2 linked regions of the Sus scrofa genome follow. The protein of the gene in region 1 interacts with the protein of each later gene in a pairwise test. Links are inferred from orthologs where the notes say so. Each region holds a gene or a part of one and is shown in the gene's direction. Other genes may lie near its edges. The genes, in order: ALDH16A1 and DERA.

Region 1 (3,816 bases):
TGAATGGTGGGGAAGAGCTCCCGCTGTGTCTTGGGAGCTCTGGGACATGGGTTAGATCCCCAGCCCTGCATGGTGGGTTAAGGATCTGGCATTGTCACAGCTGCTGCTTAGGTTGCAGTGGTGGCTCGGAACTGATCCCCAGCCTGGGAGCTCCATATGCTGCAGGGTGGCCAAAAATGGGAAAAAAAAAAAAAAATAGGACAATGAGATGATCTGGAAATATAGTGTAGACTCAGCTAAGAGGATATGGGATGGAGTACAGAGAGTTCCCATACTCGGAGGCTGGTTAGAGATGAAATCCTGAAACAGCAGTAGTGTGATAACAGTTTATATTTATTGGGTGCTTTCTATGTGCCAACCTCTGTGCTTAGCATGATCTCATTTAATCCCCAAAACAGCTATGAAAGGGGATTATTGCCTTGAGCTCACAGAGGTTTGAAGAGTTAAGTAATTGGACAACTGTCGTGGACATAGCTTTAAAAAAGGTGAAACTGGGATTTGAACCTAAGCCCTGGGATTGCAGAGCGCACACCACCCCCTGCTTTCCCCCAAGCTCAATCTTACAGTCTGTGGGCCAGACTCAACAACAGATGTGTTTTCTTGGCCTGAAACCGATTTTTTTTTTTTTGATGTGAACTGGTAGATAATGGATTCCATGTAAACATCCGGGATTCCAGCTTCTCTTGAAAATAAAATTCCCAAGTTTGGCAACCTTTGCCTCACATTCCCTGACAAAAATCATCTGGACCCAATAGCTAACTGGCTCTTTGGGCAGTGCGTGAGTTCCTTTTCCCCACCAGGCCCTCTTCTCACACCAGTGTGGCCTGCCAGGACCCTGTGGAACATTCTTTTGGTGGTTTTGTTTTTCTTTTGGGGGAAAATTTTGCAAACATCCACAGAGTACATAAATTAGGAACTCCCGTTTACCCATCACTCAGTGCCAACGAGTGTCAACACTTCATCCAATGTCGTGTCTCTTTGGCCTCTTTTTTTCTGGAATGAGTTAAAACCCAGATGTCACGTTATTTTCCCATAAATATTTGAGTCTTCATTTCTGACTGATAAAGACTCACTTTGTAACATAACCACAAGGCCATTTTCACATTAACAAGCACTCTTTTTTTTTTCCTGAGTTTTATTTATATATTTTCCTTTCTCAGCCACCCTACGCCACAGCTGCAGCAATGTGGGATTGACCCCACACCACAGCAGTGACCTGAGCCACCTCAGTGACACTACCAGGTCCTTAACCCACTGAGCCACATGGGAACTCCTACGTTTTTGAAAGAGTTGGGGATATACAAACATGAGCACAGGGGCTTGTGCATGCTGCAGGTGTGGCCAAAAAAGGGGGGGGGGTTGTTCCCATCATGGCGCAGCGGAAACGAATCTGACTAGGAATGATGAGGTTGCAGGTTCGATCCCTGGCCTCGCTCAGTGGGTTAAGGATCTGGCATTGCCGTGAGCTGTGGTGTAGGTTGCAGGCGCCGCTCGGATCCCAGTGGCTGTGGCTGTGGCGTAGGCTAACAGCTGCAGCTCTGATTTGACCCCTCGTCTGGGAACCCCCATATGCTGCCAGTGCAGCCCAAAAAAGAAAAAAAAAAAAAAAAGAAGAAAGTCATTTCTGTTCAAGAAGATCATTTGTCTATGGGGAAGAAAAGGTTTTATTAATCCTTTGTTTACATTCTCCTGTATAAAAGTCAACAGGACCACCCTTGTGCATTTCTGGTGGGAATGTGAAATGGTGCAGCTGCGGCTGAGACCAGTTTGGTGGGCCTTCCGTAAGCTACTCAGGGCATTGCTCTGTGACCCAGGAGCACCGCTCTGAGGTATACAGGCCCCAAATAAAGAAACACAGGTATTCACACAAAGACTTGTGCTCAGATGTTCATAGCAGCCTCATTCACAAAAGCCCAAGGCGGAAATGACCCCAATGTCCATCCGCTGGTGAGTGGATGGATAGAATGTGGTCTCTGCCGACAAGGGAATAGCATCCATCCATAAAGAGAAATGAAGTTCATGGGAGTGCCCTGGTGGCCTAGCAGTTAAGGATCTAGCTTTGTCACTGCTGTGGTGCAGGTTTGATCCCCAACTAGGGAACTTCCGCATGCCATGGGCCCAACCAAAAAAAAAAGAGAGGGAGAGAGAGGAAGTTCTGATCCATGCTGCCATGTGGATGAACCTCAAAGCGGGCACACAAAGTCACATATTTGTCGGATTCCATTTATGTGAAATTCCAGAATAGGCAAATCCGTAGATATACAAAGTAGATGACTTGTTGCCAGGGCTTGAGGTCACAGTAAGAGGGAGAGTGCTTAATGGGTACTGAGTTTTCTCTTGGGGTGATGGAAAAGTTCTAGAATGAGATAGTGGAGATGGTTGATTAACACTGCGAATATACTAGGAGTTCCTACTGTGGCTCTGTGGGTTATGAACCTGACGAGTGTCCATGAGGACTTGGGTTTGATCCCTGGCCTCGCTCAGTGGGTTAAGGATCGGGCATTGCTGTGAGCTGTTGTGTAGGTCGTAGACGCAGCTTCTGGTGTTGCTGTGGCTGTGGTGGAGGCCGGCAGCTGCAGCACCTGTTCAACCCCTAGCCTGAGAACCTTCCATATGCTGGGGGTGCAGCCCTAAAATGCGAAAGATAAAAGAAGTGAATGTACTAAATGCCCTGGATTGTACATTTTGAATTGGTGAATGTTATGCATTTTTTTATGTCTATGTGTATTTTCCTCCTACACAGGTAAATACCTGATGTAGCAAAGGGAGCAGGTATCCCCCTCCCAGAGGACTCTGGGTAGGAATTGAGCTCCCCCAGCTGCCTCTCAGACCCCTTTCCAAACTGTCTCTGCCTCCCCCAGGCCTGGCTGGACACCCAGGACCGGCTCTTGGGTCACTATGTTAACGGAAAATGGTTAAAGCCAGAACACCGGAGTTCAGTGCCTTGCCAGGATCCCATCACAGGTATGCCATGTGCTCCAGGCTTGGGAGGGAGAGGGGTCAGGGGCCCCAGACGTAGCCACCAACAGCACCCCATTCTCTTTGCCCCCTTAGGGCAGGGGGTAACTGGTGGGAGAAGGCTGAGATTTCTGGCTCCTCTTTTGTTTTTCATTTTTTAATGTTTTATTGAAGTATAATTGATTACAGCATCCTAATCATTCCTGTTGTACCGCAAAGTGTCTGGCTCCTCCTGATAACAGTCACCCTCAGTATGGCTCCAAATCCCTGTGGGCGCTTTTTCAAGTCACCGTCTATTAACTCTCCCCCTTGGGGGAGTTCCCGTCATGGCTCATTGGTTAACGAATCCGACTAGGAACCATGAGGTGGCGGGTTGGATCCCTGGCCTCGCTCAATGGGTTAAGGATCCGGCGTTGCCACGAGCTGTGCTGTAGGTCACAGACTCGGCTTGGATCCCACGTTGCTGTGGCTGTGGTGTAGGCCGGCAGCTACATCTCCGATTAGACCCCTAGCCTGGGAACCTCCATATACCGCGGGTGTGGCCCTAGAAATGGCAAAAAGACAATAAACAAATAAATAAATAAATCTCTTCCTTGGGAGTTCCCTGGTGTCCTAGCAGGTTATGGATCCAGTGTTGTCACTGCTATGGCTCAGGTCACTGTTGTAGTGCATGTTTGATCCCTGGCCTGACAACTGCTGCATGCCACGGGTGCAGCCAAAAGAAATAAATAATAAATTAAAAATTTTAAAATTTAGACTTCCCACTGCGGCTCAGCAAGGTAAGAACTTGAGGATGCATGTTGGATCCCTGGCTTCACTCAGTGGGTTAAGGATCCGGCATTGCCGCAAGCTGTGGCA
Region 2 (4,429 bases), on another chromosome or scaffold:
CACAATGGCTTTGGCTGATGTTTGTGTTCTGTGAAATTGTTTTATGTTCTGCTGAGTAACACAGTGGTCTAGCTGTGAATTCCGGGCCAATCCAGGCTGTCAGGGTGAAGATAAAAATAGGTAAAATGCTATTCTATGTATGAATGGGATATGGACACATTCAAATTGTTCAGCAATGGCTTTGTGCTTACAAGGCTGAGAGGCAGCTCTGTGTAGGGGAATAAGACTGGGATTGCTTTTCCTATGGAGCCAGTAATTGCTGTGTGAAGCCGACAATAACATAATAGCTTTAATTTGTTGAGCACCTACTATGTGCCATGATGTGTATTGTACTAGATGCTTTACACACATACAACTTTGCAATCAAATCTATTTTGATCAGTCCCATTTTACAGGCAGTAACATTCCTAGAACCAACTAGAAATTGAGTGCAACTGCTCATGTATTAAGCATTTGGACCCATTAGGAATCTGCCCAGTTTCCACTACACTGGAATGCCTCTATTTAGAACATGGGTTGTCTGTAGGTAGAACAATGCAGATATAATACATACTTGGTAGGTTCGTTCTGACACTGTCATGCTACAATCTCTCTGAAAGTACCTGGCATAGTAACTGGCTCATCCTAAACAAGTCATAACTAAGGGTTTTCCTTCTTTCAGCAGAGTGGAGCAGCTTCTGATTGTGAGTGCAGAGTTGATTAGTAGCCTGTGTTGAGTGACTTCAGACAACTTAACCTCCTGGTCAAAAAGTCAGATTGAAAAATTTCCTAATATCACAAAATCAGGATTTTATTTATTTATTTTTTATCTTGGTTGTGGCCTATGGAAGTTCCCAGGTTAGGGGTCCAATCAGAGCTGCTGCTGCTGTCCTACACCCTGGACAAAGCCGCTTGCGACCACAGCACCAGATCCTTAACCCACTGAGTGAAGTCAGAGATTGAATCCACGTCCTCATGGATACCAGTCCGCTTCGTTACCGCTGAGCCACAACGGGAACTCCATAAAATCGGGATTTTAGAACTCCAAGATGTTGTCAAGGTGCTTTCTTACAGATGAGGAAAATGAAGCTTTGAAAGGCAGCTGAAGGCCCAGTGTCACACTTAATCGCTGTCAGAGCAAGGCTGAGACCCCAGGTCTTCTCACTCCTGGGCTTCCTAGTTTTCCAGGCCACAGAGCCGCTTCTCTTCAGGAAGCCCAAATTAGAAGTCGCAGGGATCGGGCCCCAGTTTGCCAGGTGGCCGCCCTTACAAGGGTCAGGGATCACCTCTGCCCCTTCACGTGGGGATCCTCTTCCCTCTTGTTCTGTAATCCCACGGCAAAAAGTTTCCAAATGTTTTTACTCAATGCATTCGGCAAGTATTTGACCATGAGTTCTGGCAGCATTATTTGCAGGAGTTATTGCTGGGGTTCCTCATTAACGAGAGAGAACGAGGAAAAGGGCGGCGGTATTCCTTCGCCAAGCAAAGGGCCTGGGATAACTAATGTGCCCAGGGAGCTGCCAGGGCCCTGGCTCCGCCCCCGAGGGGAGAGGGCGGGGCGCGCGGCCAGGCGGGAAGAGGTGGCCCTGGCGGGGCGCGCGGGGGGCGGGGCGAGACGCACGCGCGCGCAGTCGCCGCGGGGCGGGCGGAAGGAGGAAGGTGGAAGGCTACGCTGAGGCTGGCGGGCGCCTGGTAGTTCGCTGTGGTGCGACAGCCCAGCCATGTCGGCGCACCAGCGGGGCACGGAGCTCGGTAAGGGCCCGCGGTCGCCCCCTCTCCTCTTCGTCGCTCCCTGTCCCCTGCCTCCTCCCGCCTTGAGCCGTCAGGTGCCCTGGACGGGGGCCTCGGGGGCTCGCTGGGATGCTAGACACAGGCGGCATTTGGGAAACAGCCCTTGGGCACGTGGACCTCCTTAAGCCTTGGCTTCTAAAGTTTAAATTTCTTTGCTTAAGGAATAGGAAAGGTTTGGACTTACTTGTTCCAACTCAGTTCATCTTCTAGCTCCGTGGTTGCAAACAACAAAACAAAACAAGAAAGCGCAAATCCCCAAGATCCCCAGACAAACCAAATGAAAGCCTCCCTTCCACACTCCTAATAGTGCGATTTAATGCTCTGTTTCTATAGTTAATTGTTATCACAGCTGTATCAGAGTGGATGTGCTGTTGGAAAAGTTCTCAGGTGTCTAGGCTATATTAACAGCATAAATTGTGTGTGATTTTAGAGGTACAAAGATTTGTAGAAGTGCTTGGATTATTTCACCATTTTTTCATTTCATTGATATCAAATATTTCTGGCAAGAAAATTAGTTCTGATTTCCTCAAAAAATGAAAAATTTGTAATTCAAACATAGCAAAACCATGACATAGCCAAAGGTTAAGGATCTCAGTTTAAGTATTAGAGTTTGCATGTCTGTATCTTGGACCTTTAGTTTAGCTGTGTGACTTTGGGATATAACTTAATCAATCTATGCTTAAATTTCTTTATTTATAAATGGTCATAATAGTAGCACTTACCTCATAAAGTGGTTTGGAGTGAGTACCTAGTAAACTATTATATACTTGCTAATATAGTGAGTACATTATATACTTACCAGGTACTTACATTGTATTAAGTAAATATAGAATACTATTATAAGGAGAGTTCTGTTTTTAGGGACCAATTTGGAGAAAATTAGCTATAACATGTAACATGTAAAGGTACTTTTTTCTTTCTTCTTTAAAAGTGACTGTACTAATTAAATAGTCTAGACTTCATGAGATGGTCCAGAACTTTGTTGAATGATAAACGCTTGTTTTTATAAAGGTAGGCGATTTCCTCACCAAATTGATTCTCCTTTACTCACTGCCCTTTAGCAGTGAGATTATATTTTAAACTCTAGTTCTAATTTTGGAATGTGGACTTTAGTAATAAAGGAGTTCCCTAGATTGGAAGATCCAGAAAGAGGATGGATGGGGCAGAGAGATGGGCTATGGGTCTTAGTCATCTTGGTATCTTCAGGGTATGGCAGTGTGACTTTGTACACCATGTGATGCACTGTTACTTCCCCCACACTTAGAAGTTTGTTTTTCTTTCAAGAAATACAATTAAACCTTTTGCCTTCTTTTTCTTACTGAGATTTAATTGGCATATAACATTTTTACTTTTTTAATTTGCAAGAATTAGAATCACATCCATTCATTTGTTGAAAAGTAATAGTATAGACAAAAGCCAGTTGCTATATAAAATAATAGTAAATGTAATTTTTATACAGCTATTTAAATGGTCATATTTTTGTTTTATCTTCTTTGTTTAAATGAAATCAGATGTATTTCAAGAGTGGGTTTTTTGTTGTTGTTGCTTTTTAGGGCCACACCCACGGTATATGGAAGTTCCCAGGCTAGGGATCGAATCGGAGCTACAGCTGCTGGCCTGTACCACAGCCGCAGCAACTCGGAATCCGAGCCTACTGCAACCTGCTGTAGCTCACAGCAACACCTTGCTCCCCAACCCACTGAGCAAGGCCAGGGATCGAACCCTCATCCTCATGGATACTAGTCGGATTCGTTTCTGCTGAGCCACAATGGGAACTCCCAACAGTGTTTTTCTTTCACTGGTATTAATCATTAATCCAGACAGAGGTTTAGCTAAAAATGCTGGTATAAGTTATTTGAAATATTTATGTACTAAGGAAGAAATCATTATTCATTTATGCAGTATATCAGTTGATACCTTTAACAGAGTTTTCTAATTACAAGACTTTTAAAATAAATACTGTTAACTTTAAAAAATGTTTTTTAAATGTTTTATTGAAATATAATTGATTTACAATGTTGTGTTAGTTTCAGGTATATAGTAAAGTGATTTAAAGTGATTCAGGAGTTCCCGTAGTGGCTCAGTGGTTAACGAATCTGACTAGGAATCATGAGGTTGTGGCTTCGATCCCTGGCCTTGCTCAGTGGGTTAAGGATCCGGCGTTGCTGTGAGCTGTGGTGTAGGTCGCAGACACAGCTCGTATCCTGAGTTGCTGTGGCTCTGGCATAGGCCAGCAGCTACAGCTCCGATGAGACCCCTAGCCTGGGAACCAACATACGCTGCGGGTGTGGCCCTAGAAAAGACAAAATACCAAAAAAAAAAAAAAAAAAAAATTGATTCATTTATACACATATATAAATATATAAATATATTTACATTCTCTTCCATTATAAGTTATTATAAGATATTAAGTAGGTTTCCCTGTGCTCTACAGTAGGTCCTTGTTGATGATCTGTTTTATATATAGTAGTGTGTATATTTTAATCCCGAACTCTTAATTTATTCTCTTCCCCCCCTTGGAAATGAATTTCTCTTCCCTTCCTTTTTTTTTTTTAATCTTTTTAGGGCTGCACCCACAGCATATGGAGGTTCCCAGGCTAGGGGTAGAATCAGAGCTGTAGCTCTTGGCCTACATCACAGCCAAGGCAAGGCCAGATCT

What was found.
Region 2: the proteins of ALDH16A1 (region 1) and DERA interact in binary tests that used the Homo sapiens proteins (3 or more experiments, as listed by UniProt). The link is inferred for Sus scrofa from reciprocal best matches to the Homo sapiens genes ALDH16A1 and DERA.

Annotation. Positions count from the first base shown.
Region 1 is NC_010448.4:54,532,289-54,536,104, forward strand, and holds part of ALDH16A1 (aldehyde dehydrogenase family 16 member A1), read left to right. Parts: intron 1-2,861; coding exon 2,862-2,964; intron 2,965-3,816.
Region 2 is NC_010447.5:56,703,642-56,708,070, reverse strand, and holds the start of DERA (deoxyribose-phosphate aldolase), read left to right. Parts: upstream 1-1,591; 5' UTR 1,592-1,700; coding exon 1,701-1,731; intron 1,732-4,429. UniProt on the Homo sapiens protein: Catalyzes a reversible aldol reaction between acetaldehyde and D-glyceraldehyde 3-phosphate to generate 2-deoxy-D-ribose 5-phosphate. Participates in stress granule (SG) assembly.